Linked DNA regions of Oryctolagus cuniculus. The protein of the gene in region 6 purifies or fractionates together with the protein of the main gene of each other region. This does not show direct contact. Links are inferred from orthologs where the notes say so. Each region holds a gene or a part of one and is shown on either strand. Other genes may lie near its edges. The genes, in order: MYO1B, SLC25A11, SSR4, tubulin alpha-1A chain, MYO1C, LRRK2 and SLC25A22.

The links.
Region 1: the proteins of LRRK2 (region 6) and MYO1B purify together in Homo sapiens (affinity purification with mass spectrometry; 3 studies listed by BioGRID and IntAct, with this or other methods). This does not show direct contact. The link is inferred for Oryctolagus cuniculus from reciprocal best matches to the Homo sapiens genes LRRK2 and MYO1B.
Region 2: the proteins of LRRK2 (region 6) and SLC25A11 purify together in Homo sapiens (co-immunoprecipitation; 3 studies listed by IntAct, with this or other methods). This does not show direct contact. The link is inferred for Oryctolagus cuniculus from reciprocal best matches to the Homo sapiens genes LRRK2 and SLC25A11.
Region 3: the proteins of LRRK2 (region 6) and SSR4 purify together in Homo sapiens (co-immunoprecipitation; 3 studies listed by IntAct, with this or other methods). This does not show direct contact. The link is inferred for Oryctolagus cuniculus from reciprocal best matches to the Homo sapiens genes LRRK2 and SSR4.
Region 4: the proteins of LRRK2 (region 6) and tubulin alpha-1A chain purify together in Homo sapiens (affinity purification with western blotting; 4 studies listed by BioGRID and IntAct, with this or other methods). This does not show direct contact. The link is inferred for Oryctolagus cuniculus from reciprocal best matches to the Homo sapiens genes LRRK2 and TUBA1A.
Region 5: the proteins of LRRK2 (region 6) and MYO1C purify together in Homo sapiens (affinity purification with mass spectrometry; 3 studies listed by BioGRID and IntAct, with this or other methods). This does not show direct contact. The link is inferred for Oryctolagus cuniculus from reciprocal best matches to the Homo sapiens genes LRRK2 and MYO1C.
Region 7: the proteins of LRRK2 (region 6) and SLC25A22 purify together in Homo sapiens (co-immunoprecipitation; 3 studies listed by IntAct, with this or other methods). This does not show direct contact. The link is inferred for Oryctolagus cuniculus from reciprocal best matches to the Homo sapiens genes LRRK2 and SLC25A22.

What each region holds. Positions count from the first base shown.
Region 1 is NC_091434.1:48,897,695-48,901,194, forward strand, and holds part of MYO1B (unconventional myosin-Ib), read right to left. Parts: intron 3,308-3,500; coding exon 3,214-3,307; intron 2,277-3,213; coding exon 2,127-2,276; intron 1-2,126. UniProt on the Homo sapiens protein: Motor protein that may participate in process critical to neuronal development and function such as cell migration, neurite outgrowth and vesicular transport.
Region 2 is NC_091448.1:51,302,300-51,306,383, reverse strand, and holds the start of SLC25A11 (mitochondrial 2-oxoglutarate/malate carrier protein), read right to left. Parts: upstream 2,801-4,084; 5' UTR 2,609-2,800; coding exon 2,514-2,608; intron 1,949-2,513; coding exon 1,796-1,948; intron 1,710-1,795; coding exon 1,503-1,709; intron 1,008-1,502; coding exon 917-1,007; intron 837-916; coding exon 746-836; intron 654-745; coding exon 554-653; intron 476-553; coding exon 424-475; intron 300-423; coding exon 144-299; 3' UTR 1-143. Other genes in the region: E3 ubiquitin-protein ligase RNF167, read left to right, coding at 3,626-3,709, 3,794-3,874. UniProt on the Homo sapiens protein: Catalyzes the transport of 2-oxoglutarate (alpha-oxoglutarate) across the inner mitochondrial membrane in an electroneutral exchange for malate.
Region 3 is NC_091453.1:132,150,508-132,154,742, reverse strand, and holds SSR4 (translocon-associated protein subunit delta precursor), read right to left. Parts: upstream 2,801-4,235; coding exon 2,734-2,800; intron 1,592-2,733; coding exon 1,473-1,591; intron 941-1,472; coding exon 866-940; intron 776-865; coding exon 686-775; intron 465-685; coding exon 399-464; intron 267-398; coding exon 162-266; downstream 1-161. Other genes in the region: IDH3G (isocitrate dehydrogenase [NAD] subunit gamma, mitochondrial), read left to right, coding at 3,189-3,269. UniProt on the Homo sapiens protein: TRAP proteins are part of a complex whose function is to bind calcium to the ER membrane and thereby regulate the retention of ER resident proteins.
Region 4 is NC_091442.1:52,629,035-52,633,188, forward strand, and holds the start of tubulin alpha-1A chain, read right to left. Parts: upstream 2,801-4,154; 5' UTR 2,574-2,800; coding exon 2,571-2,573; intron 2,033-2,570; exon of another isoform or gene 1,926-2,032; intron 832-1,925; coding exon 609-831; intron 469-608; coding exon 320-468; intron 13-319; coding exon 1-12. UniProt on the Homo sapiens protein: Tubulin is the major constituent of microtubules, a cylinder consisting of laterally associated linear protofilaments composed of alpha- and beta-tubulin heterodimers.
Region 5 is NC_091448.1:47,036,011-47,040,179, reverse strand, and holds the start of MYO1C (unconventional myosin-Ic), read left to right. Parts: upstream 1-1,369; 5' UTR 1,370-1,561; coding exon 1,562-1,636; intron 1,637-2,338; exon of another isoform or gene 2,339-2,476; intron 2,477-4,169.
Region 6 is NC_091440.1:131,827,533-131,831,032, forward strand, and holds part of LRRK2 (leucine-rich repeat serine/threonine-protein kinase 2), read left to right. Parts: intron 1-721; coding exon 722-939; intron 940-3,500. UniProt on the Homo sapiens protein: Serine/threonine-protein kinase which phosphorylates a broad range of proteins involved in multiple processes such as neuronal plasticity, innate immunity, autophagy, and vesicle trafficking.
Region 7 is NC_091432.1:325,871-329,970, forward strand, and holds the start of SLC25A22 (mitochondrial glutamate carrier 1), read right to left. Parts: upstream 2,801-4,100; 5' UTR 2,697-2,800; intron 1,265-2,696; 5' UTR 1,102-1,264; intron 462-1,101; 5' UTR 314-461; coding exon 294-313; intron 208-293; coding exon 82-207; intron 1-81. Other genes in the region: PIDD1 (p53-induced death domain-containing protein 1), read right to left, coding at 3,333-3,579, 3,679-3,878, 3,961-4,068. UniProt on the Homo sapiens protein: Mitochondrial glutamate/H(+) symporter. Responsible for the transport of glutamate from the cytosol into the mitochondrial matrix with the concomitant import of a proton. Plays a role in the control of glucose-stimulated insulin secretion.

The DNA.
Region 1 (3,500 bases), on a different chromosome or scaffold from region 6:
TGAGACAGACAGACAGACAGACAGAGGGAGATCTTCAATCTATTGGTTCACTCTCCAAAAGGCCACACAGCCAGGGCTGGGCCAGGCCAGGCCAAAGCCAGGAGTCAAGAACTCTATTCAGGTCTCCCATGTGGCAGACACCCATGTACTGAGCTGGATTGCAAGTGGAGCACCCGCAACTCAAACCAGCACTCTGATATGGGATACTGGTGTCGCAGATGAAGGCTTAACGCACACAACACTGGCACCAAGGGACCCAATGACTTGAGTCATCCCCTGCTGCCTCCCAGGTTAAGCATTAGCAGGAAGCTAGAATTGGGGAGAGGAGCTGGGACTTGAAAGTAGGCACACCAGTATGGGAGGTGGGCATCCTAAGCTGCAGCCTAACTACTACACCAGATGCTTACCCTGCAATTCACTTATGTTTTTTTAAAGGTTTATTTATTTATTAGAAAGTCAGAATTACAGAGATTGACTGATTGATCTCCCTCCACTGGTTCACGCCCGTCACAATGGCTGGGGCTGGATCAGGCCAAAGCCAAGAGCCAAGAGCTTCTTCTAGGTCTCCTACATGTGTGCAGGAGCCCAGGGACTTAAACCATCTGCTGCTGCTGTCCCACGAGCAGCCAGGACTTGAACTGGCACCCAGATGGGAGGCAGGCATTGCAGACAGCAGCTCAACCCACTGTGCCACAGAGCTGGCCCATCCCTCAACACACTTTAAACTTGAATTTTCTGAATGGCCTCAAAAGAAAAAGTGCTAAGAAGGGCTCGTGGAGGACAGCTGTTTGCTGGCCCTTCCTTTCTTGGGCAAACAGAAAGCAGAGCACTCTGAATCCCGCACAAAGAGTTAAGCAGCCCTGCTGTGCACACAGAGAATCCGCCACCAGCATGCTGGTCACTCCCATACTTCAAGACTTGTGCTGTACTTGCACTCTTAACTACAGCAAGCAATTTTAAAGATTCTTTAAGGGCCGGCACTGTGGCTCAGCGAGTTAAGCTGCAGCCCCTGACTCTAGAGTCCCATATGGGCGCCTGTTCCAGCCCCGGCTGCTCCGCTTCCCATCCAGCTCCCTGCTAACGCACCTAGGGAAGCAGTGGAAGATGGCCCAAGTGCTTGGGCCCCTGCACCCATGTAAGAGACTTGGATGGAGTTCCTGGCTCCTGGCCTCAGCCTTGGCCATAGCAGCCATTTGGGGAGTGAACCAATAAATCTTTAAAAAAAAAATATTCTTAAGGATTAAGCTTACTCATTAGGTAAATTTTATTAACTAAAACTTGAAATAAAATGCTACAATATATTATGTGAGACTAAGTCAGCGTAAATTATGTCTTGACTGCATATTGCCTTGTAGCAAAAGCTCTCAGAGCCGAAAAAGAGAATTCACCAAAGGCGATTTGAGTGCAAATTTAATTAATTTTCCAAGTCACTCTATAGTAAAAAAGCATAGGATGAAAAAGCATTTGGAAGTAGTGTTCTTATCACTAAAACTCATACTGTGAGAACACAACCCAAGTTCCAGCTACCAAGAGACAAACTTTCACGCTTCTTGAAAACCTGTGGCTCACCTCCAACAAAACGTCTACAATCAAGGGAGAAAGAGCTTTAAAAAGAAATCCCATATTAATTAAGTCAACATAATTCAATCCTTTCTCCGAAGCCAGAATTCTGAAATACTGAAATACGGCCTTAGCTTCCGGGAATTAAAGCCGTTTTTAATGCTGCTATAATGGAAAACAGCTAATTATTTGGAAAATTAACCCAACTACAGTTGAAGGATTAGATGACATTGTCACTTCCTCTCGGATGACCAAATTAAGGATGTACTTTGACCACTCCCTACATCTAGATCTGTGGAAGGCAGTGTGGCACACACGCTAAACCTAAGCTCAGAAGTTGTCTCGGATTCAAATCCAAGCTCTGCCCCTCAAAGCTGTGCAGGCATGGGCTGTAAGCTCAGAGCCTGGGTTTATTAAAATAAATAAATAAATCAGTCCTAAGTGCATTCATCTCATGAGGTTGCTGGGAGAATTAACCACATACAAATTACACACAGAGTTAGAACACAATAAAGGTTGGCAACTTAGCCCCGTCAATTCAGGTTACAAATGCCTGCGCATCTCACCGCGTATCTCCTGTACCAGGCTGCAATCACAATTTGGCTTCTCTTCATGAGCAGGAAGTGGGTACGGCACTTCCACCCCCGATAAATCTTCTGAATCAGAGTGGCCAGGTCCTCGAGCCGTTGCTTCCTCAGGTCTTCTAATTTGAATAACTAGTAAGAAAACAGGGAGGGACTTACCAAAAGTCCTCCGAGACCTCACGGTACACGTGCAAGGGATCTTCAGGAGGGAAAACCACCACGATATCGGGCTCAACCACATTGAGGGGAAAAGCCGTCACGGTAACTACAGGTGATGTGGATGGACGTTCTGATGAACTGAGGGACGTGCCACACTCTTTACTCCAGTGATCCACAATTCATGACAAATCAGAGAAGGACTGACCGGAGCTTAAGACCATTTTTCACGTTGTCCATGAGGATGAAAATACGTACAGAGAATCCCTCATCTGAAATCTGCAGGTCTCAGATTTTTGGATTAGGGATGCTCAATCTGTAAATTCTATGTGAATATTCCAAAATCTAAAAAACTCTGGAATCTGAAACACTTCTGGTTTGGAGCAGTCTGCAGAAGGAATACTCAGTCTGTAGCGGAAAGCAGATGCTGGTGGATTTTCTCAAATTTCAACACTTTACAAATTCTGTAAATCTCAAATCACCAAATAAACTGCTATAGTAATGATGCTCTATAATCCATCTATCATTTATAAAATGGCTCCCTTGGAGTTCTATGCAGTGGAATTTGTAAAATGCTTTTTTAAGTTTAAAAATATTTTCAACTGTGTGCCTTCATATTATCTAAAAATAGTACTGCTGTAGTTTCTAAATTATGTATAATTCACATATTATGGACTGAATTTACCTCCAGTTGCCATGAATTAGGGAGGTTTTATTGTTTCATGATAGCTTAGGATTTCTTAAATGTCATCCAACTCAGCAGATGAAATACTTGGACTTTTCACAGCAAACGCAAGTCCCATTATCTCGGATGTTTGCAGATCACCACAAGAGGTGACATTTTGTGGCAGCATCTCAGGAAACGTCACAGACTTTAACCCAAGTTCAAAGTGTGAGGGTTCTGGTTACTTACTGTTCTCGGGTTTCGGATGAATATCTTTGATCGACCAAAGGAATATTCTTCCACCGGAATCTCCAACTCATTAAACAGAACCTCCACACCAGACCTATAAAAAAGCCAAAGTGAAAACAGTTTTCTGAGTTACAAAAACATCTTTATCCCGTTTCATATCATGATATCAGGTTCTCAGTAGCTTCATTTCCAGGGATAACTGCTTAACTGCTCTTTCAATAATCATCCTTCCAGAGATTTTCAAGATTGGATTCTACAAATTGAATTCAATCCAGTAAATACACACA
Region 2 (4,084 bases), on a different chromosome or scaffold from region 6:
AGCCCAAAGTCCTTTACCACCGAGGAGAAGACCACTCTGCGGAGGGGAAATAAATAGAGGGGCCCCGGGCGGCAGAGTCCAGGCCCTCCACCTCGCCGGGGCGCAGCCACTGCAGGGGCCGCCGGCTCCAGCCCCCAGCCACCTCAGCCACTAAGGAAGAGGCGCTTGTAGGCCTTGTTCATCTGCTCCAAGAAGATGAAGGTGAGGACCGTGTGGGGACCCAGGCGGGCGTAGTACGGCGTGAAGCCCTTCCACAGGCTGAAGAAGCCCTCGTAGCGCACGACCTTCACCAGCACGTCCTAGGAAGACAAGCAGGCGGGGCGCTGGGGCCAGGACCTGGCCTGTAGGGCCCTGTGCCCCTGACCCATGGCCCTCCCGGGGCATCCGAACACTCCAGCCCAAGCCCCAAGTCCTGCTCCTCACCAGCCCGTTTCTGTACTCTGGCTTCCCATCAATCATGCGCATGTTCTGGATCCTAAAAGAGAAGCAGCAGGGGCATGAGCCACAGAGAGGGGGTCCTCCAGCCCCTCACCAGGTCCGGGCCTGCACGCACCGGGTCTTGACAATGTCCACGGGCATGGAGGCGGCAGTGGTGACGAGGCCACTGATCATGCTGGCGCAGAAGTGGCACAGGATGTTGTCAGAGAAGTAGCCTGGAGGGAGAGAGCCGGGGGAAGGGGATGACCGTCAGCCTGGACGTGGCTCGGGTCAGGCTGGCGGCCACGGGTCCGGCTCTGGGTCTCACCTGAGTCCAGCAAAAACTGCTTGGACTGGGAGTAGGAGGCGAGCTGGGCAGCATTGACGACGACAGCCCGGGCCATGGTGGGGACACAGCCCTGGAGGTGGGGAGTGTGGACAGTCAGAAAGGCCGGAGGCCTGACCCCACACCCGCGAGGTCTCCAGCCCCTTCACTCACCCGCCACAGAGTGAGGACCCCCTCTTCCCGGACGATTCGAACCAAGGCATTAAACACATTTTTGTAGCCACGGCGCTGGTCAGCCGGAAGCCTGGTGGGAAGGCAAAGAGAGGACAGGATCAGCAAGGCCCACCTGGCCCCGTGGGAGCACTGGACTGGAAGCCTGAACAGGTGAGCGCTCTGTTCCAGATCTGGGGTTAAAAAGTGGTCATTTGGGGGCAGGCGTCAAGGTGCAACAGGTTAAGCTGCCGCCTGCAACTCCTCTATCAGCGCCGGTTCAAGTTGCAGCTGCTCCACTTCTGATGCCCCTAGGAAAAGCAGTGGAAGACGGCCCAAGCCCTGGGGGCCCTGCCCCAATGTGGGACACCCGGTGAAGCTCCTGGCTCTGGCCTGGCCCAGCCCTGGCCATTGCAGCCATCTGGGGAGTGAACCAGCAGATGGAAGCTCTTGCTCTCCCTATCTTTCTCTCTCTCTCTGTAACTCTGCCTTTCAAATAAATAAGTCTTAAAAAGAAAAAGAAAAGCAAGTCATTTCATTCTAGATCCCGGGGATCGGGGCTGAGGTCAGGCTCCGAGTTGGAACTCACCGGCCATCGGCAGTCATGCGGATCAGAGCCACCTCCGCTGGTGTTCCCACAAAAGCACCAGTTGCACCTGCGGTCATGCCAATCACAGCCTTTAGCAGAAAGCCAGGGGGTGTCCCATCAGCCCCAGTCAGGCGCTCAAACAGCACGGTATAGATGCCAAGACGAGTAGTGGTGTAGGTGGCCTGGCGCAGCAGGCCAGCTGACAGCCTGGAGAGCAGAGGGGTCAGTGTGTGGGGCCAAGGCTTGCATCTGCCAAACCCACACCCTCCCCCCAACCTTGGAGGCCCCAGTACCCGGTGTAAATGCCCCTTATCCCTTCCGCCTTCAGGATGCTGGTAAGGGCATGGAAGCTGGTTTTGTACTCTTTGGTCTTGGCACCTTCCCCGCTCAGCTGCATCCGGTTCTTCACCAGGTCCAGGGGCTGCACAAAAACCGTAGCTCCCATCCTGGAGGAAGGTGGGAGCAGGGTCAAGGGCCACGTGTGCAAGATCTCCCGCTGCCTACTGCAGCCTAGCACAAGGGGTTACTAAGGTCAGGGCCTGCCTCGGATTAGGGATTAAGGAGGGCTGGTAGGCATGTGTCTGACAGTCTCTGTGTGTACCAACAGCAGCGGGTTCTGGAAAGTCCATTGTCCATTAGGGGTCATGCAATGAAACTACTCCAAGCAGATCCACGGGAGTCCATCGGTGGGCCCGGTGGGCCGGGACCGCATGCAGTGCGACCCAGGGAGCGGGCCAAGGGCGTATCCACGACCTGGGGCACTAAGTAGTCCCCTAGAGTCATGGAACCCTAAACAGCCCTGCGGAACCAAGCAACGGACTGGGGAGGTGCGGGGTGGGGGATCGTGCCAAGACCCTGCATGCAGTCAGGGGCAGCCCATCAGGAACCTCCCAACACGCTGGGGATCGCGCTGACCCTCAAGCAGGCTCAGTTCACTGAAACAGTCCCAGAGATGAACCGGGCCCGTCCGTCCCTTCCTCCTCCTTTCCCATCCCTGGGGCCTGAGCTTACCCGGCCAGGCCCCCAAACAGGAACTTGACGGACTTAGGGGAGGTACGGGGCTTCCCGTCCATCCCGCCGGCCCCGGGACTCGCCGTCGCCGCCATCGCCACTCAATGGCCCTGGCTCCGGGTCCCGAGAGCGCGCGGCCCCGCTCGCGCCCAAGGTGACACCGCGCGCGCAACAGGGCGAGGGCGCGCGCGCACGCCCCTCCGGCTCCCAGGTCCAGCACCAGCTGCAAGCCGGCGCCCGCGCAGGCGCAAAGCGCAAAGGCCGCCGGGAGTAAGGCGACCCTGAAGGAGGAGCTTAAAGGCTGCGTGCGGGAAGGGGCGTGGCTTGGTTGGAAACTGGCGTATAGGCACAGTCTTCACCGACTTGGAATCGCGGGAAACTAGACAAGCTGTTCGAGGTCTCGCGAGATCTAGTCAGTCCGGCTCCCAGAGTTAGGAGGGCTCTCGCGATATGTAGAGCAAGCTTTCGGCAGCCGTGGGGGCGGGGGAGTGGGCTGGTAAGCCTTCTCGCGAGACTTGCAGGTGCGGCGGCAGCGGCGGCCACAGGGAGCGGAGAGGTTTGTAAACAGGGAAGCCCCAGGTTCCCGGGCACTAAGGGGGAAATGATTCGCTCTTCTTCTGGGGGGCAGCCGTGCGCCCTCCGTTTCCACAGACAATCCCTCCATCTCTAATTTTTCTCTTAACCGGCCTTTCAGGACCGGAAGTCCTTCATCTTGAGCGGCCAATGCTGGAAGCGGCCTGACTCTTTGTCGGAAACCTTTTTCCCAGGGATAGGAAGACGGCCCACCTGGCCGGAAGTCCCACCTCCCGGGGCTCCCCCACCCTTCCAGAAGTTTTGCTGTCACCTGTGTTTCCTTCCGTCCCCTCTCCCCGTTTTGTCCCCAATCCAGAAAAGGGTCCATTTAGAGTCTCCGACCCAGCTCCGCTAAACGGGCTTGGGGCCTCGCTCCCCGGGTCGGGGTTCCTTCCCCGGCGCCCCCATGTAGCTGGGAAGTGGGACCTGGGGGTGGTTGGACCCCTGGGATCCTGAGGGAGCGGCGGGGAGGGCGCAGAGCCCCGCTTCTGCTTCTGCTCCCGGGCCGCGGCCTCCTCGGCCTCTCCCCGCCCGCTGCCATGCACCGCGCGGCCTTCCCGCTTCCTGTGGTTGTGGCCGCCGTGCTGTGGGGAGCAGCCCCCATCCGGGGCCTCATCCGAGCGGTGAGTCTGTGGGGCGGGTGGAGGAAGGGCGCCGGAGGGGGGCGTTGCGGGCCGGAGGGGAACGTGGACGTTTTGTGCCCCCAGACCTCGGAGCACAATGCCAGCATGGACTTTGCAGACCTGCCAGCTCTGTTTGGGGCCTCCCTGAGCCAGGAGGGACTCCAGGTGATTGGCGTTCTTTTTTTTTTTTTTTTCCCCTCCCCTCTTTGTCCAAATCCTCCATCCTGGGCGGGGTTGAGGAGCCATGCCCCGGGTCTGGCTGGGGATAGTTAGAGTCCGGTTAGGATCGAAGTGCGTGAACATGCGTGGAATCCAGAATCTAGGGGAAGAAGACAGTGCCCACTCTCCACTCTGGGCTTACCCGGAGACTGCAAA
Region 3 (4,235 bases), on a different chromosome or scaffold from region 6:
TGCCTCTGCTGTCCAGGCAGACGAGGAGCTGGCCCCCAGATCGCACCGTGTGGGAAAAGCAGAGCGACACAAGGCAGCAGCCCTGGGTCCTGGACGCGCCGCTCGTAGCGCCCAGTGACTGTTTATTCACTAAGGAAGGAGGGCTGAGGGGCCTGCCACTCTCAGGCCTGGATGTGGGTCTTTGCGCTGAAGGCCAGGTAGTAGATCACTAAGCCAATGCCTGCGGCCAGCACCTCCGTGGAGACCCAGGGTCCGTTCCAAGTGCCCTACAAGAAAGATCAAAGCCAGCTCAGCTTCCCTCGGGGGCACAGACTCACTGGCCAATCACGGCCCAGCAGGCAGAGAGCACAGAACCTTCCCTCACCCCACACCCCCAAGCGAGGAGCCAGGCCACTCACCCGATGGTCCACACTGACTGTGAACAGGGGCGGGATGATGGAAATGTCCTCATTATTTCTCTGCGCCTGCAAAGGAGGGCAGGGGCTGGGGTCAGAGGTGGCCAACGGGGTGACGAGGGGAGGAGAGGAAGGGACGAGGGGCAGGTGGCACAGGCGTGCAGGAGCACGGGACGGGGCTGTCGCTGTGCCCTGCACCGGTGAGCCCCCGCCCAGTGCCAGCCGGGGCGGACAGCAGGGTGAGCAGGGCAGGGGCAGCTGCAGGACGACAGGTCCCGAGCAGTCCTCACCTTCCTCAGGAGGCTGTAAGACTCCTCGTCAAAGAACCTGACCTCGTAGGTGCCCGCGTGAGCGCTCTTGTGGTCCAGGCTCCAGGACACCTGGGCGGGTGGGCAGGGTGCACGTGAGGGGGCCGTGACACAGCGACACTCAGTGGGCCCCCGAGAGCACGCAGATCTGCCGTCGCTTACCTGGTACCGCCCCACGTCCTGACCCCGGGTGACAGGGAACTGTTTTCCACTGACATCAGCGTAAAGAGCCATGTTCTAGGTGAGAAGACAAAGGGGAGTCACCTCCTCTCTCTGGCCAGGAGCACCATGCAACCACCGAAGAGGTGAGGCTGGCACAACCGGAGCCACGCTGGGAGAGCAACACCCACCGCCTGCTGGCACTGTCTCTCTGGGTCTGTGTCCTCTGGGAGCGAGTCTGTTCCCGGAACCCGCGAGGGGGTGCTGGCGCCAGGGAGACCCCCACCATTGCCCAAGGAGGGCTGCCCTTCAGAAAGGGCCTACTCCCCGCTTGGGGCTTTTAGGAACGCGGGCCTGTGCAATCCCGAACTTGCGGCACACCCAGACTCTCTCTCTCTGGCAAGCGGCATCCAGAGCAGAAGGGCGAGGCTGGGCGTGAGCCTCGCTCTCTCCCGCAGCGCAGACCCAGAGCAGAGCAGGCCCGTAGGAAAGGGGCCTTGCTGTGCCCTGCCCCCTCCTGCTCCCCAGGAACTGAGTTCCAAGAGGAGCACCCCTGGCCACGCCCACCTCTTGCCCCTCCGTCCTCCTGGCGGAAGCCGCACTGCCCCACCTGGACCCTGTTCTTGCACGTGAGGGAGATCTCCACGATGAAGACGGTCTCGGTGGAAATCACGGCGTCAGAAGTGGTGTAGTAAGAAGGGGTGATCTGGGGCTCCACGCACGCCTCTGCTGCAGGGAGGAGGCAAGGCCGGCGTGGGCGTGCTGGAGCCAGGGCACAAGGGCCCTCCTGCCCCTGCCACGGGAGGTGTGCGACACACAGCCGGGGGTCAGGCACGAGTGCGATGGCAAGGGGGGGGGGAAGGCTGGGGGAACAGGGAGGGCTTTGCAGTGAGGACTCATGCCAGCGGAAGGGGGGCGAATGTGTGCAGGGGGCTCGCTTCAGTGCTGGCACCCACGACAGGGAGCCCCGGGGTCCAGGCCAGGATCAGTCCAGAGGACGGGAAGGGCATCTGCCTCCAGCAGCCCTGAGGACCCGTGGGAAAGGACGATGCCACCGAGGTGGCGGACAGGAGGCAGAGAGATGGCTCAAGTGCGCTAAGCCGGACAGCGCTTTGGCTCCGGGCAGGAGGAACATGCCGGGGCGTGGGGTGGAGGGGGTGTGTGTTGGGGGGGTGCGGGGGCAGTGAGTTGGGGGCCAGTCTTCTCTGCCTGCCGCTCCATTGGGCCTTTCCCTATGGAGCCCCCGAGGGGTTCACGGCCAGCTATGTCTCTTGCCAGACATCCCTGGTACAGGGCAGGGAACTGCGGGGTGAGAGAGGTGCGGGCAGTCGGGAGGGCCGGGCTGGCACCAGCGTGAATGTGCAACAACTCCCTTTTAGCCACACTCCAGGCTGACTCCAGGCTGTCCTCGACCCTGCCCCGGGGCTCGGAAGCACTCAAGGCCCCTGCTGCCCGTTTCAGCCCCACACTCCGGCTCTCTGGCCTGCTGGGGAAGCCTGGCCCGCTCCGCACTGCCGGAGGTGGATCCTGCCCGACCCCCCTCTGAAGCCAGGCGACGGCTGCGACGTGTGTCACCTTCCCTGCTGGAGCTGACAGCCGGGGCCCACAGTGTAGGCTTTGCGGCTCTTTATCACGAGCGGATGACGGAAGGATTTGACTGTTTCTCCCCGCAGCCTGGCTGCTTGGCAAACGTGCGTGTGGTCCACTGGTGGCTGCGCCGCGACGCCGGCTACCTCTCGGGGAAAGGCCCGGTCTGCAACAGCGAGCCCCGGGAAGGGCCTGCCCTCGCTTCGCCCGCACCCTTCCTCCCCCCAGCACCACCTGCCGTGGGACAGAGGCTCGCCAGAAATAAACTCCGGCCAGGCCGCTACCTGAGCAGCAGGACAGGCCGGAGAGCAGGAGCAGCGCCAGGGCGCCGAGAGATGCCATCGCCGCCATCGCCTCTTCTCTGCCGACGCGAAAAAGAGCGAGCTCGCCTGAACACGAGGGGCAGACGAGGAAGCGCGACGCGTAAGCGGCCGCGATAGCCAATCATGCTCCGGCGGGCCGGGCCAGGCTTCGTGACGTCGCTAGGGGCACTGACGTGTCCCCTCCCCGAGCCAGGGGCCCAGCTTGTCGCGCCCCCCCTAAGATGGCGGCAGCGGCAGCGGCAGCGCGGCCGGGAGCCGCGACGCTCCAGGCACCGGAAGGGGGCGTGGCCACCGGAGCGGCTGCGCGCATGCGCAGCGCCGGGCGCACGTCTGCCGTGGGGATTTCGCCCAGCGCCGAACTCTCGCGATAGCGATGTCATAACTGTTGGAATCTGCCGCGGCTCTCATTTTCCAACATGGCGCTGAAGTTGACGACGACTGCAGGTGCCGTCGCGAGGGCGGTGTTCAAGCCAGCCGTCCTCAGCCGTCCTTGGGAGGTGAGGGGGAGCAGGCCACGGCGCAGCAGCAGCGTCCGCTACGCGGGGCCTCGCACACCCTTACGGCCGGGCCGGGTTAGAGGCTCCTAAAACGGTCTGATGTTCCATTGGATGCGGGCCCCGCTAAGAGGCAGGGAGAGGGCCAGGGTTGATTGGCCGCTTCTGCTGTCTCTGTGCGTCGGGGGAGAGGGCGGGAGGTGTTTGGAGTGTGGGTGTGAGTATGCGGCTGTGGAATGGCCGAGATTGGCTCGGTCCGTCTCTCCCAGGGGTGTGTATCTGTTGGGCTGCGGCGGCTCCCTAGTGTCTGTGAGAGTCCTCCCGAGACATTCAGGAGTATCCCGGCTCGTCCCGTACTCACTTGCTACTCAGGTTACCTTCTAGTGCGCTTCGCCACCTGTCCCGATGGGGTGGAGAATCAGACGTTCCCAGTAACCCCCATCCCCGTGCCCCACCCCCCACTCTCTGTCGGCCCCGGACGCCCTCCGGAACCGCCTGGCGGGGGCGGGGATGGAGGTGGGGGCTTCTATCCCTCGGTGGTGCTTTTGAGGGCTTGGTTGTTTAGTGTGGCTTCCTGTCCCCAGAGCTCGTGCTCTGTAGCGGCGAGCCAGCCCTGGCCCTGGGAGATGAGAGAGATGACCTGCAGGCCTTGCTCTCCCACTGCCCCGCTACGTGGCCGCCTCTTTCTGTCCACTGAGGGGAAGAAACTTCATGTTGTCAACTTTGACCTTCAGGAAGTCTGTGACTTTGCTGACAGTCCCCGGAGACAGCGCTCTCGGCTGTGCACCTCCCCGCCCCTCCCCCGTGCCCTGAGGCTTTGTGAGAGTCTGTTTAAAAGCTGACTTCCCCCTGCTCCCTGAGGGAGTGACAGCAGCACAGACAGTCTTTCCAGAGGTCTTTCTCTTTTTTAAGACTTAACTCGTTTATTGGAAACTCAGAGCTGCAGAGAGAGGGAGAGAGGTCTTCCAC
Region 4 (4,154 bases), on a different chromosome or scaffold from region 6:
GCACTGGTCAGCCTGTTTAAAAGAGAGGAATAGAAAAGATTAAGTCTTTGTTGTCTGTGATACAATCATAGTAAATAGTCTCACTTTTCGTACATCTCTAAGAATTTAGATCTTACTTTAACAAATGCTTTTTAAAAAGCGAAGACCTTGGAATTACTCAACATTTCTTCATTTAAAAATTCTCAGTATTTACAAAATGATATCAGATAGTTCATGTTTTAATTGAATTTTTAAAAACCTTTTTTCAATTTCAATTCTGTTTCAACCAAACAGCATCCCTTAACTTACTAATGTACTTTATTGTTGAGAGGAAACATACCAGCTTGCGAATTCGGTCCAGGACGAGGTCAATGATCTCCTTGCCAATGGTGTAGTGCCCGCGGGCATAGTTATTGGCAGCATCTTCCTTGCCTGTGATGAGCTGCTCGGGGTGGAAGAGCTGGCGGTAGGTGCCGGTGCGAACTTCATCTGGAAGAGGGAAGCAGACCAGCCACCTGTCACTGACAGCCTGCAGGGCCCCGGGGTGCCAGTGGCTCCCCCCTCACAGAATTGTCCCAGACCTGTCCCAGCACCCGGGGCTCTCACTGAGGCCACGGAGGCCAACTCACCAATGACCGTAGGCTCCAGGTCTACAAACACGGCCCTGGGCACGTGCTTGCCAGCGCCCGTCTCACTGAAGAAGGTGTTGAAGGAGTCGTCTCCTCCCCCAATGGTCTTGTCACTTGGCATCTGGCCATCGGGCTGGATGCCGTGTTCCAGGCAGTAGAGCTCCCAGCAGGCATTGCCGATCTGGACACCAGCCTGGCCGACGTGGATGGAGATGCACTCACGCTGTGTGAGGGAAAGAGAAAAATATATATAAATTATTTTGTATTAGCATTTTGAATTTTCAGCAAATTTCTAAAAGTATTTCTAGTAATTAGATCTTCCTCAAATTTATTTGCAGTTTTATCCCTAATATGATAGAAACGATGAAAGAAAAGCACCTGCTACAAATACTGCAGATGGGTGTGGTCTGAATAATAATGTCGCCTTGGCACAGTTTAGCACATGGTGCAAGCCCATTGTTCACAGAGCCATGCTTGAATGGAAGATTTTTTTATGGCTTCAAAGCACAGATTTTGTAAAATGAAGTAAATTAAATTCAATCCAATCATGGATTGGAATTCATTTTACTGCTTTTTTCCCCCTTTAACTGGAGATTAGTTTCTTCTGCAGAGGACTTAGGATTCCAAGAGGCATCTGTACTGCAGCTGCAAGCCACACCCTTCTGCAGTCTGCCTGCAGGATCCATCAATACTAGGAGTTATTAGAAGCTAGACAAAAGTCTGCCTCTGCATTGCTGCACTGCCGTTATTTGCTGTGCCTGGCGCTAGCCTGTACTGTCTGCTACATTATTTAACAGAGCAAGCTCTATTTCCAGCAACTGCCTATATGATCTCATTGTGCTGTTTTGCTAGTTCTTCCCCTGACCCAGCCTGGGACCATGCTCCTGAATCGAAATGAATTAATGAAGACACCCTAGAACAAAAGACGGCTGGAGAGCAGAATGTAATTCTTTGTCTGCAGCAATTGTGTTACTTTAAGTTTTTACAGAATCGCCTCCACTGTAAAAAACTGAAAAATTGTTAGTATTTTTGAAACAACAGTTTGCGAGTTAGGAAGAAATGTTATATGAGAAGCTAGCAAAGAACAAAAGCCCAGTGAAAGGACAGTGAAATATGTATTTAAAGCAACAAAAAAGTGTTTTCTTTCTGAAATTCTTTACCCACCACATAAAATTCTTACTCCTCATCCCACAGAGATTGTCACTTTTAGGGCTGCAATTTTCATTGTCTGCTCCCTGGGGCGGGGGCGGGGCAGGCGTTCCCGACCGCAGCCCAGCAGGCACCCAGGGCGGACCCTGCGCCCCCCCACAGCCCGGCCCCGCAGCCCTCAAGGGCGTGGCCACGCTGGACCAGACTTTAAAGGGCTTGTGAATTGGGATTCTGGGCCTCGAGAAAACAATTTTTTTTCATCTGAGCTTTAGCAGGTAATGAAAACCCTTTTGAAGTCTTCAGTTCCGCGGTGATGCAAGGCTTTTATTCAAGGCTTCCCCGTGACCGCGGAGGCTGAGCGAGGGCGAACCCGGTCCGGCGGCTCCAACACCGGGGAAGCCAGAAACAAACAACCCCGCCCCTGCGCCGCCCCGGCCCCAGCCGCTAGTAGACGGCTGTCTCTCTAGAACGCAAGGGTCTTGCGCCAACCCGAGGCTTCCCTCGGTTCCCGTCCTCCTCTCCGCGCCCAGCTACACCCAGCGCCCCCGGGCTGCAGGTCCCCGGGGAGCCCCACGAGCGCGGAGCGCACGCCCCGCCCGGCTGCGGACCCTCCCGCCCCGCCGGAGGGGCAGCTGCGGCCCCGGGGAGTCCTCGGCGACAAACACTCCCTGGCGTCGCCTTTGTTCGTCCCGGCCGGGCCCTGGCTCCGCACTGCGGCAGCGGCAGGGCGTAGGGACCGAAAGCAAACAAAGCCACCCTGGACAAAAAAGGCTACAAAGGGCTCCCCGGGCCGCCTGGGGGGCCGGCGCTTACCATGGTTGCTGCTGCGCGCGGAGGCCGAGAGGGAGGCTGCTGCTTCTTACAGCGCGACTCTTAGGCGGTCGATGTAAGAGAACCTGCGGCTCGGGCGGTGGCGGCCGCCTATATACAGCCCGGTCGCCATGGGGATGGGCCGGGGCCTCTTCCTGTTGGTCCAGACCCCTCTCTCTGCCCGGAGAAGCCGCGGCAGAAGAGTGCTGATTGGTGCAGGCGACATGGGATGAGGTAATCGCTCCCCCACCCGTTTTCCCCCAGTATCCATAGACTGCATCCTTCAGACAAAGAGACCGAGCCAAAGCCGGCAGCCCAGCATCCATTACGGGGTGGGGCTCTCGGGAGGGGCGGAAGGGAAGAAAGAGGACTGCGGCTAGATCATTTTCTATCGCTTCAGTCTCAACCTGCAGCTAAAATCACCTAGGTACGGTTTCAATCGTAGCATTTGTGTTGAGATGGAATCTTCGTGAAGAATCGCCCCCTGACAGTACACTAAGCTACATTTGGTTACGAACCAGCATCTCGAATTGCTTTAAAAATAAAGTGGGAAAGACGGGAGCGATACTCAAAATGGTTTGAGTAAATATGCTTTCCCTTTCTCTCTTATTTTAATTAGAAAAGGACCCGGTAATACAGTCATCCAAAAAAAAAAAAAAAAGGCTCTGCAGGTTCAATTAATGTATTTTCATATCTTCTTTTGGGCACAGACACCCAAATAGCTCAACAAAATGGGTGATGGGAGGCATAGCCATACCGCATAAAAGAACACAAAAGGTTCTAGCATTGCAGTCGGTGAGAGCTAATGGACACATGAGGGTTAGCTGATGAGAGATACTCATTTGCCAAAAGACTCTGTAATATATTTTGTGAGATGTAGAAATGAATCATCGTTCCCAATACAGAATTGGGAAAACACAAGGAGAAAGAATTGACTGCAGAAACCGGTATCCCTTGTGTGTGCAATTATATTTCTGCATTGCTCGCCTTTTGGGAAAGTTACAAACAAAAAAGAGTAACCAAAACACTAAATTAAAAAGAAGACAAGAAAGATGTAGGATGCAAAAAGAGGACCACTTTGTATTGTTGCCTCCATCTGCAGGCAACTCTGCAGTCTCAGTTCAACCGCAGTCCATTTTTATATAGTGCTTATAAGAATGGGGTCCACACCCTCCTAACTGTGGGAACCTTAGCCGGCCTCACACCGCTGCTATTCAGCTGGAGACTGGTGGCTGCCCAGAGGCCTCTTGGGGACAAAAAAGGCTTTGCTTTCCCCCCTAGGAAATGGTTTGCTGCTCGGAACGGCTCCATTCTCATCAAGGATGGGCTATGCAAAATAGGTCTCCGGGCTGTGCACCTCTTGCCATTGTGGATGACATTTCAGAGGTAAAGAGATTTGTTTGACTATCAAAAATAGAAATTTCTGTTTTTCCTTTCAATTTCCAGCAACTGATTTTCGGGGGCTGCATTACTACAGCGCCCTGTGGAGCCCAGTCACTGCTGCGGGCTGGTGGGCAGAGCAGGGCGTGGGCAGCACTGCAGGTTGTGGGATGACAATGGCGGCTGTGGGACTGCGCTAGCCACACC
Region 5 (4,169 bases), on a different chromosome or scaffold from region 6:
ATCATGGGTGCTGCCACCTAGCACCCTTCATCTGGCAGACAGGGATCCTGGGGCTCAGAGAGGTGGTGGATCCCTCCCTGGCTTCCCACGCAGCCGTGGTGGCTTCATGGCGGACCAGCAATACAGAACCCCCGTGGGCAGCCCCGTTGTCTACAAAAAACAAACCACGTGCCATTCACAGGATCCCCATGAGAGGGCAGCTGCCAGCCTGAAACAGACACTGCACCCACCTCTCCCCTCTCCGTTTTTGTTAACGTGACCCTGGGGCTGGATCTGGGGCTTCCTGACTCCAGGGGTCCCCGTTTTCTCCAGCTCACCTCTCCCCACGTGGATGTCTTCACACACTCCTTCCCCCGCCTCCTTGCCTGGGAGGGGAGTTCAGCAGAGATTGAGAGGCGGAAGGGGAAAGGGGAACACTCTCCCTCCTCTTGGCCCCAGTCAGGATATGGCCGCTCTGGGCCCACCCCTGACCCGCTGGGTGGAAACAGGAAATATGTGAGACTTGGTGTGCGCTGGGTCTCTGTGCCTGGCTCCACGGCTGATAAGAAGCCATTGTGTGGCCGCCAGGGATGAGCTGCCCTGGATAGATGTGCTTCCCGGAGGAAGGAAGGAAGCCTTGCCGGCCTTTCCTGGGCGGGGGACACTGGGGAGGGAGGAGAGGGCCCCTGGCTGGCTGCACAGGCCCCCTGGGCGGCAGCCCCTCCCGTGCCAGCCTGTTTCCCCAACCACTTCCCCGTCCTCACTTCCTATGAGGAATGGCTGGAGACTGGAGGGCTCAGGCCCAGGCCAGGAAAGTGTCAGCTATGATTTAGCAACAAGAAAGATGGAAAAACAGGAACACTGCGGGGGTGGGGGTACCTGAGGGGACCGCTGAAAAGTGAGGCAAGAACAGGGTGTGAGGTGGTGCACACCTAAGGAACTCAGCAGTGAGTCTTCCAGGCATTCGCGGCTCCAGAGGAGGGGAGGGTGGGGACCTCCCCACAGTGCCCCCTGCCTCTCCTAACGATCCCTCTGCCCAGTATGGCCATCCATCAGCAGCCCTGGCTCCTCAAATGCAAGGGGCTACCTGCTGCCCTCAGGCAGCCAAGCTACAGGGACAATCAAGAGGGACAGCGCCTTTTGAAAGATCCTCTTGGCTCAGGGGAGGCTGTGCCTTCTGCTTTGGGGAGTGGCCACTGTGCCCTCTGCTGATACCAGAGAGTGGGCAGCGGGGAGAAGTCCAGCCACAGGGCTGCCTTCTTACCTATGGCCTGGAGCCCAGGGTCCCCCCCACGGGTGACTGCCTCAGCTCCCCTGGCTACCTGGGACAAGAGGCATTTCCTCCACCCCTCAGCTCCTCCTCTTCCTGCCCCAGCCCTGCGGGCCAAGAGGCCTTCCAATCAGACCTGGGCTGCTCCAGCTGTGTCCTGAGGAGCTGGACCAGCCACATCCCCTGGGGCCGGAATTGAAGCAGAACCAAGTGGCCATCCCAGCCTGAAACCACAGATTCCTGGCTCCGGGAGCGGCCAGGGCAGGCAGCTTCAGCCCAGGGGCTCAGCACTCTGGCTGTCCACAGGGCGGAATGGCGCTGCAAGTGGAGCTGATCCCCACGGGGGAGATCATCCGCGTGGTTCATCCCCACAGGCCCTGCAAGCTTGTAAGTGGGGCGCTCTGGGCTGGGAGGAAGGGTGGCACTGTCCAGCCAGGGCCTGGCAGCCCCTCAGGAAAGAGGTGAGCGCTGCGAGGGTTTGGGTCCTGGCGTAGAAACCAAAGGGGCAAGAAGGCGTAAGGGGAAAGGAAGGGATAGAGTGTGCGGGATTAAGGATCAGTAGAAGCACTTTCTAAAATGGAGATCAGGGTTTCAGTCGCTTCTCCAGCTTGCTGGTCGGGGACCTGGGCATGACAAGCTACTCAGGGCGAGGGACTAGTGCACGTAGAGCACCAGGCGCATAGTACAGGCTCAGCTGATGCCCCTCCTTTCTCGTTGGCCAAGGAACTGAGGTCTCCCGGCTCAGAGCAGTAGCATGGGCGCAGAGGCGGGTGAAGGGAGAGATAGTCAGACCTGGGGAAGAACTGCTCTGGCCTGGCGGGCAAGGGAGGGAGAGTCCGGTTCACTCTGGGGGTGAGGAGGGAGAACCCCCAACGGGCGCGCCCACCCACCCACTCTGCAGAGTGGACCGCTTCCTAGGTGGGAGGCGGATGCGTGTGTGCGCGCGCGCGCGCGACTACGACGACGCGCCTTGTCCCGGGAAGCGGTGAAGGAGCGCGCTGGGCACAAGTCTCCCCTGGCCGGGGCCGGAGCCTGGGCCGGCTGGGGCGGGGCGGGGCCGGAGGGCGCGCGCGCGCGCCGGAGTCTGGGCCTTGCCCGGGATGACGACAGGCGGCGGCCCGGCCCCCGGCGGGCCCTGGGCGGGGAGAGCGTGCCGGGGCCGCGGACTCCCGAGCTGGTCACGCCGCCCAGCCCGGCCCCCGCCAGCGCACCCCAACAGCCGAGCCGGTGGGTACGCTGGGCAGGGCGGGAAGCGGGCGCGTAGCTCCGGGAGGCCTCTGCTGGCTGGCGGGTTACGGGAAAAGGCAGGCGGCCAGCTCGGGGATACCGTACAGGAGGCGGGGGTCGCCGGCGGGGGAACGCTGGGACCAGGATCAGCTCGACCTGGCCCGTGTGGGATTCCCCCCAGGTCCCGGAGGCGCGGGGACCAGGCCTGGTGGGACTTGGATTACTTGCGGGGAACCTGAAGGCGGGGAAGAGCGACTGGGGTTTGGGCACCTAGCGCGCTCTTTCGGGCCCCTCCCGCAGCCCTGCTCTGCCTCTGGGTTCCGGAGAAGCCGCCGGAGACCCGCCCCTTTCCGTTCTCCGCCCCCAGGGCCCGGCAGCGCTGGTGGCCCCTTGCGTGCCTCTGCGCGCGCGTGCGGTGGGTGGGGGCTCCGAGATGAATGAGACAGGGAACGGTGGCTCCCCGCTTTATTCAGCTCCCGGCAAGCTCGGGCCGCCGGCTCACCCTCCCTGTCTCTGAGAGTCATTCATTCACTCGTTCATTCATTGATTCATGCGGGAGTCTAGGAAGGAGTTTGGGAGCCCCCACTGTACCTAGCAGGGTGTGCGCCTGGGGCAGTCTGACCAGCGATAAGCTGGGGGCTGTGTGTTGGGGATAGGCAGGGAGGGGTTCTGCAGAACTTGATACCTGAGCCGAGTCTCCCAGGACCACTGAGAGTCAGGGAGGTGGGCCAGGGCAGCTGCAGGTGCAAAGGCGTGGAGGCTTAGAGAGCCACGTGTGGCTGCTGGCAGAGGCACCGCGGCCCCGCCTGGCTGTGTGTGGCTTAGTAGAGGCCTGGGGAGAGTAGGGACTGGAATGCAGGGGCAGTGAGTTACACTGAGACCAGTGGGGCCTGCAGAGCAGCAGTGGGTGTGAACCACAGGCCTGGCGCATACAGGCTGCCCTATCAACCTTCACTCTCCGCACGGGAGATGTTCCTGGGCGGCGCTGCATTTGTAAATAGCACAGCCTGCTGTGGAAAGTGGACTGGTAGGAGGAAGGCGGGGTGCGGAGTGAGGGGCTGCGGTGCTGGTCCAGGAGAGAAGTGGTGGAGAAGCAGAAAGAGGTTTTAGCAGGTGGTGACTGCTTGGTGTGGGGCGGGGAGGGGGCAGGGCAGGCCTCTCCGTGCCCACGTGATGGCCAGCTGGAGGTGCCGCCTCCTCTTCATAGAGGACTCAGCCAGGAGAACAGGGTAGGAGGCCAAGTGCTCTTTTGCTTTTGCTGGCCCCCAGGCAGAGACGTCTAGCTGGCCAAAGGCCCCTGGTTCTGGAGTGAGGGCACAGCCCTTGACTGGGCCCTGCGAACCATCAGGGTAGACCCCCAAGTCCCCATCTTCTCCCCACTCCCCAAGGGTCCGTGAAGCCCAGAACAGTGCTTGGTGGGGCAGCCTGGTCCCAGGCCCAAGATTTGTTTGAGAAATATACATAAGTTGAGTACCTGCACTGTGCGTAGCACTGCGCCGCCAGTGAGACCTGCTGTGTCTCCCCTGCCCCAGGAGGCCCTCCGCTCAGAGCCTCAGAGCGGGGAGCAGCTGTCTGCCCCTCCCCCAGCCCGGCCCGCAGGCCCCTGACCCACAATAGCTAAAGGGCAATGGATGGCCCACGTGGGCTGGGTCCTCTCCATCCCCTGCGCTCACAGCAAACAGCCTCCCCAAGG
Region 6 (3,500 bases):
CTAGTGACTCCACAGGCTACAGAAAATGAGATTTAGTTATAGGTTAAACATGGACCTCTTATACATGCCAGCAGGCATTTTTATCTTTGCTGTGAATTGTCTGAGCTGCAGGTAGTGCCTGCAGTGCCTCTCCTTTGCCTTATATTCTTGATTGTTGTTGTTTTTCATTGCACCAGCCAATTCAATTTTTTAAATTTATTATGCATTTCTGGTGCTAGACGCATGCCCTCAAATGCATTTTCTTTTCTTTCTTTCTTTTTTTTTTTTTTTGAAAGGCAGAGTGGATAGTGAAAGAGACAGAGAGAAAGGTCTTCCTTTTGCCGTTGGTTCACCCTCCAATGGCTGCCGCAGCCAGCGTGCTGCAGCCGGCACACCGCGCTGATCCGATGGCAGGAGCCAGGTACTTATCCTGGTCTCCCATGGGGTGCAGGGCCCAAGCACTTGGGCCATCCTCCACTGCACTCCCTGGCCACAGCAGAGAGCTGGCCTAGAAGAGGGGCAACTGGGACAGAATCCGGTGCCCCGACCGGGACTAGAACCCGGTGTGCCGGTGCCGCAAGGCGGAGGATTAGCCTAGTGAGCCACGGCGCCGGCCCCCCAAATGCATTTTCTGCTGAAGCTCCAGTGCCTGGAGGAGAGATTGCCACCGGGAGGTGTTCAGGACACCTTGCCCTAATGGATTCAAGCCCTTTGCTCACGTTTCTGCTGTTTCTTGATACAGGGTCGACCAAACTGCAGTCCCACGCGAGGCAGTCAGACAGCGTGTCCTCCCTGGCTTCGGAGAGGGAGTACATCACCTCCTTAGACCTATCAGCGAATGAACTCAGGGAGGTCGATGCCCTGAGCCGCAGGGGCTGCCTGAGTGGCCACTTGGAGCACCTGGAGAGGCTAGAGCTGCAGCAGAATGCACTGGTCAGCTTCCCACAGCCACTCTGCGAGGTACGCCCCCCGCCCGACTCCCAGTGCTGGAGGAGGCTTGCACGCCCCCCGCCTGACTCCCAGTGCTGGAGGAGCCCAGCACCGTCCAGTCTTCCACACCCCCCGCCCAACTCCCAGTGCTGGAGGAGCCCGGCACCATCCAGTCTTCCACGTCCCCTGCCCGACTCCCAGTGCTGGAGGAGCCCAGCACCGTCCAGTCTTCCACGCCCCCCAGCCGGACTCCCAGTGCTGGAGGAGGCTTGCACCGTCCAGTCTTCCACACCCCCAGCCGGACTCCCAATGCTGGAGGAGCCCGGCACCGTCCAGTCTTCCACGCCCCCAGCCCGACTCCCAATGCTGGAGGAGCCCGGCACCGTCAGGTCTTCCAGTCTCCTCCTGTGTCATTGCACAGGACGCCCCCTGTTCCTCTGCTGTCCACATGGGTATCAGTCTGGGTGGTGTGCAGAGACCCCTTTGAGAGCAAGCAGTGGAGACAGAGACTGGGTTAAAATGCAATTCTAGGTTCTGTCTCGGTAACACAGGGTATGTGTCAGCATCTGTCAGAGCTGCCTGCTGATGGCTCCATATAGTCGGTTTGAGTCCAGATAACTGAAGCTTTTAAAGTATTTTAGGGAGACGAGAGTTTAACCTGGTTTGGTAGTAGCTGTGTGACCATGAGAACTGCTATCTGCCTGTTTTTTTTTTTTTTTTAAATAACTCTTTTTTTATTTTTTGACAGGCAGAGTGGACAGTGAGAGAGTGAGACAGAGAGAAAGGTCTTCCTTTGCCGTTGGTTCACCCTCAATGGCCGCCGCAGCCGGCGCACCGCACTGATCCGATGGCAGGAGCCAGGAGCCAGGTGCTTTTCCTGGTCTCCCATGGGGTGCAGGGCCCAAGCACCTGGGCCATCCTCCACTGCACTCCCTGGCCATAGCAGAGAGCTGGCCTGGAAGAGGGGCAACCAGGACAGAATCCGGCGCCCCAACCGGGACTAGAACCCGGTGTGCCGGCGCCGCTAGGCGGAGGATTAGCCTAGTGAGCTGCGGCGCCGGCCAGCTATCTGCCTGTTCTGAGCCTTCATTTCCTCCACTGTAAATTGAGAGGCTCAGCTAACTGACCATGATGACTTTGTGTTTTAAAGATTTACTTATTTATTTGAAAGACTCAGTTACAGGAGAAAGGGAGCGAGAAAGAAGGAGACAGAGAGTTTGCATCTACTGGTTCACTCCCCAAATGGCCATAACAACCAGGGCTGGGCCAGGCCCTACTGAGGAGCTAGGAGCTTCATCTGGGTCTCCCATGTGGGTTCAGGGGCCCAGGGACCTAGGTCATCTTTCACTGCTTTCCCAGATATGTTAGCAGGGAACTTGACTGGAAGTCAAACAACCAGTACTGGAATGCCAATGCTGCAAGTGGTGGCTTAATGTGCTGTGACAAAACACTGGCCCTGATCATGAGGACTTTTTGGGGGGAGAGGGGTTGAAATTGTGTGTAACTTGGAGTGGGCGTTTATCCTGGAGGTTAAGATGCATGTGTGCTATGTTGGAATGCCAGGTTCAGTACCCAGCGCTAGCTCCTGACTTCAGCTTCCTGCTAACGTAGACCCTGGAAGGCAACAGTCATGGCTCAAGTGATTGGGTTGCTGCTACCCAAATAGGAGATCTTCATTGAGTTCTCAGTCCCTGCCTTCAGCCTATTTGTTGTTTGCATTTACAGCAATCAGCCAACAGATAGGAACAGTGTATGTGTGTGAATGAATAAAATAAAAAGTTATATGTAACTTAGGAATTAATTGTCTGCTCAAACTTCTAATCTTGAGAGAATTAAAGTATAGCAGTTTGTTGATAGCATAGTCCTCTGAATATGGACTTTCTCTTCTTTGTATTATGGGTCAGACGTTTTCAAAGCCAAAGATGATACGGCAAATTAAATTAATACAAACATTTAAATTACTAAGCTGATTTCTTGGATTGAATTGCAAAGTTTGTTAAAGAATAATACCAGTCTTTTTAAAATGAATCTTACTGCAAATGCATTTCTCTTTCTTCTTTTATTTTTATTTACTTATTTTTGTTTTATTTGAAAGGCAGATACAAAGAGAGAGAGACAGAAAAACAGAGTGAAGAAGGGACAGAGAGTGGGAGCGAGTGAGCCAGCTTTTATGCAGTGATTCAGTCTCCAGGGCCTGGGCCAGAGCCAAAGCCAGGAGCCAGGAACTCAGCCTGGTCTTCTCGCTGAGAATGAGGGATTCAAGTACGTGAGCCATCACCTGCTCCTTCAAGGTACACATTAGCAGGAAGCTGGAATCGGGAGTGGAGCCAGAGTTTGATCGCAGACACTCCAGTATAGGATGGAGGTTTCCCAAGGAGCAGCCACCCCACGTTTTGAGATGCTTTTAAACCAGTGTTGTGAGAGCTTTGAGTATATACCCCTGAAGCTTACATTTATCTCCACGCACGTCCAAGAGGCGTCTTTTGTCTCTCGTTCGCCTGCTTAAATCCTTCCCATTACCCAGGTCCCAGGGGAAAGTTCACTGTGTTGCCCTCTGCTTCTTTGCTCTGTCTTCCTTCCAATCAGGCCGG
Region 7 (4,100 bases), on a different chromosome or scaffold from region 6:
GCCCCTGCCCTGCCCCAGGAGGGTTCTCCCTTTCCAAGAATGAGGGAGGGGCGGAGCTGCCCCCGGCCGCCGGGCACTCACATGCTGGAGTACATGCGCTGGCCATTCTGCTGGTTCTGCAGCCGCGTCTTGGCCAGGTCGATGGGGAACACGCAGGTGACCCCGATCAGGCCGGCGATGCCGCCGTTGATGAGCTTGGCGGGCAGGCTGTGTGGGCAGGGGGCCGTCAGGACTGCCCCCCGACCACAGATGGGGCCTGGGGCGGGGGGGGGGGGCTGGGGGTTGCTGCTGACCTGATCTGTTTCTCAGCCATTTAACTCCGGCACAGCCAGGCAGGAGCAGGAGACGCGGCGGGGGAGGGGAGGCGGTGTCGGTGGTGGCCAGAGGGTGGACGGGCGAGGGGGAGGTGCTGGCCTCCCACCTGCAGGGACTGTGTAGGTGCCTGCCGCTGCGCTTCTGTGCTGCAGGGGAGAGGGGCAGGCATAGAGCAGGGCCTGCAGAGGGGAGGCAGCGTCTGCCCCTCACCCCCGCCCCAGGCTGCAGCCACCAGCATGTCTACCCCCTCACCCCCACCCGTGTCCTCCCGGCTGGCCTCCCACACGCACACGCTGGCGCTCACGTGCACACGGGCTGAGCTCCAGCTTTTAAAGGGCCAGGCAGCTCTGGGGGACAGCGGCATGGGTCAGCGTGGCTGCCCGTGCACCTTGACCCCTGGACCGACCCGGTTGTGGTGACCGTCACCCCTACCCTGCCCTTGAGCAGACACGCTGGCATCGGCCTCTCCAGGATGGGGGCTGGCGCCCCAGAAACCCCACCAGCACCTGGCTCAGGGCTGCCAAGAGGGCCGTGGCCACTGGGACCTCCGGGGGCCTTGGAAGTGGGCAGCCGGGGGGGCTGGCCTGGGGCTCCCCATGGTTGCCCCCCATCCTCTGCAGGCAAGAAAGAAGGGGCGTCTCCCATCAGCGCAGGGCCAGAGCCAGCCTCAGGGGCTTCCCATGGAGGGCAGCCATCAGAAGTGAAATGGGGGGTCCTGGAGCCCTGGATCCTCTCCCGTGTCGCCCCCACCCCTGTCCCGTCGGGGGTCAGCTATCACAGACTCACCCCGCAGCCTGCTGCCCGGGGTCGCTCGCTGGCTCGCACCCAAGGTGCCTCCGAAAGCTTGCGCCTCTCCCCCCAGCCCCCGCGCTGAGGTGCCGGCGGCACTGGATCCTCCAGCACTCCAGAAAGCCGCCTCCCCTGGCAGATAAAGCCGGCAGCCGGGAGGCTGGGGGAGGAGGCGAGGGGGGCTCAGGGATTGGCCGAGGGGCGGGGTGGGGCGGGCCTGTGGGGGGGGCGACTTTCTCTTTCACTTTGGGCGAGCTGGGGCTAAGGGAAGAGGAGGTGGGACATTTCTCAGAGCCCAGCAGGGCCTGGGCCCTCAGGGATGGGGGAAGTGGTCCGGGGACCCACCGCCTCCCGCGGCTGGGGGTGTGGTAGCCGGGGGTCCTGTCTGTAGCTTTGGGCCGAGTGCAGCACCGCCTCCCAACCGGAACCTGTCCAGGGCCCCAGGACCGGGAGGGCGGTCTGTCCTGTGCCCCGGGGGGAGATGAGTCAGTGCCCACCCGTGCCTTTGTGTCCCTTAGGGGCAGGAGCACACAGGGTCAGTAGGGAAGACGGGGCTGGCTGAGTGTCACCGAGGCTCTCGCTCACCTGGCTCAGCCCCACCCAGGGCCTCCTGCCGACCTCTGAACTTCAACCTGATCTCTCCCTCCCCCCAGCCCCACCCAGCTCTTCCAGCTGCCCTGAGGCCTTCTAGGGCGAGGTCGGGCCCAGCCCTCAGGTCCCATCTGGGGTGGGGGCACCCACATGGCAGGGGCCAGTCCTCAGCAGAGCGAAGGAGGCTCTGTGCCCTGGGACGGGGAGCAAAGAGCAGCGTCCTGGACTCATCCCCCTCCTCCTGCCTCCACGGAGGCTCCCAGCCCTGCGGGAGAGACAGCTGTCACAGGCCCTCCAGGGACACCCACGTTGCCTCAGAAACCCAGCGGTCCTGGCCGGACCACAAAGGCCCCAGGGCTAAGCCAGCCCTCGCTGTCCACTCCCTCCCCGCTGGGTAAACCGAGGCCCCGGGCCGGCTGGGGACAGCAGCAGAGCCCGGGCCGGCGCTGCTTCTCCCGGGCCTGCAGGGTGAATTCTCCCACGGAGGAGGCTGCCGGCTCCTCCTACTCCCAAGAAAGGCAGTGGGGGGTGAGGCTCGGAGCCCGGGCTGGCCGCTGCCTCCCCATTCAATCGCTTTCTGTCCCGCGGCTGGAGAGGCTCGGACAGGGTCTTCCATGGCGCCGCGCCCCGAACGGCGGACAAAGGAGAAGCGGTCGGGGGCGCCCGCTGCCGGCTCAGGCCCTGCCGGGACTCCGGCCACGCACGTGTCCACACATGTCCGCGGGGGGGGGGGGGGGCCGCGAGCGCGCCCCTGGCCCGGCCGCTCCTGAGCTCAGGCGCCAGGCTCCCACCCTCGAGGACACGTGTGCACGGGGAGCGCGCCCGGCACCGCCGGGGCCGAGCACGGCCTCCCACACCCGGGCGACAGGGCGGCCGCAGCATCCGCCGGTTCCGGCCCTGCCACGGCCGCCCTGCGCCCTGGCCGGCCGCTGTCACCTCCCCGCGCCGAGGCGCCCCGGCCGCGCCCCAGTGGGCGCACGCGGCCGCCCCCGGGCACTCACCGCGCTCCGCCGAGCCGCGCCGCGCTCGCCTCCCCGCCGCGCCGCGCGCCCGCCAGCACCTAGGCGGGGAGGCGCGTCCGCTCGGCGCCGCGCGCGCTCCGCCCCCGGCCCCGGCCCCGGCCCCGGCCCGCACGCGGGCTTCGGCTCCCCCTCCCGGCCGCCGGGGCCACTGCGCCCGGCCGTGCCGCCGCCGCGCGCCCGCCGGCACCTGGGAGCCCGGAGTCGGGCCCTCAAGGCAGCGCTTCTTCAGGCCGAGGCCCCAGGGGCCGCGGGTGGGGGTGCTGTGGAAGGGGAGGGGGTCCCAATCCCAAGCCAGACACGTGGGCGCGCTTGGGGACCACTGGCCAAGCGGGCGGCCAGGGCAGGGACACACAGCTCAGCCACAGGGCAACTTTGTATCCGGTCGGCCACTGCGGGTACTTTGTAGCACAGGCTCCTCCGGCTCCCTGGGGAGATGCACGGCGCACAGAGCCCCTGCCCGGCCGCCACGGCCGCCCTCTCGGCACCCGGCCTCCCCCCTCCGCCCCACAAATGAACGGAGCTCCGGGAGGCAGATGGCACCATCTGTATTTGTTGCACACGCGACCACTGAGAGGCCGGGCGCTGGGGGCTCTGCCCAGCCCAAGCCGGCCAGGCCTAGGCCAGGGCCTGTGAGGCTGGAGGCCCCGGCAGCGGGGGGTCCTCGGGGGCCAGGCCTGTGCGCCGGATGCTGTCCTGGTACTTGCGGTGGCCGAGGTCCAAGACCGCGCGGACTTCTTCGGCCACGTCGCGCCGGTCACTCTGCTCCAGCGCCCTCACCAGCAGCCCCGCGGCCCCCGGCTGCCCGGCCTGGCGCTCGGCCCAGGAGAACAGCATGTGGCGGGTCTGCCCGTCCAGGTCATCCCTGGGAGGGGGCAGAGGCGCTGGCACCGTGCTCCCTGGGCCCCCGGCGGCGGCACCCTCCCTCCCCAGCCTGCGCCGGCCCCACCCCGCCTCCCCTCACCGGAAGTCGTGGCGGATGCGCTGCAGCTCCCCGTAGGGCAGGCCCAGGTGCAGGGCCACCGTGGGCCAGTCGGGCCCCAGGCGCCCGGCCACGCTCAGCAGGTTGGCCTGAGTCAGGAAGCCGTTCTCAGCGTCCCCCAGGTTCAGAGGTGCCAGGGAGAGGCTGGCCCCCTGCCCCCGCCCCTTGGGCGCCCGCAGTCTCTGTGGCAGGGAGAGTGTGCGGTGAGCCCCTAACGCCACTCCACACTCCGTCACCCCGGGCCAGCCCTGCCCCTGCCCTCACCGGCAGCTTGAGGGGCAGAGTGGCCATCCAGAGGGCGTCCGCACCCTTCCTCTGCCGGGCGGCCTCCTTGGGCACCTCCGTGGGCACCGAGCCCCGGTAGAAGGACACCTGGGAGATCAGGCGGGGTTCAGAGCTCCGGC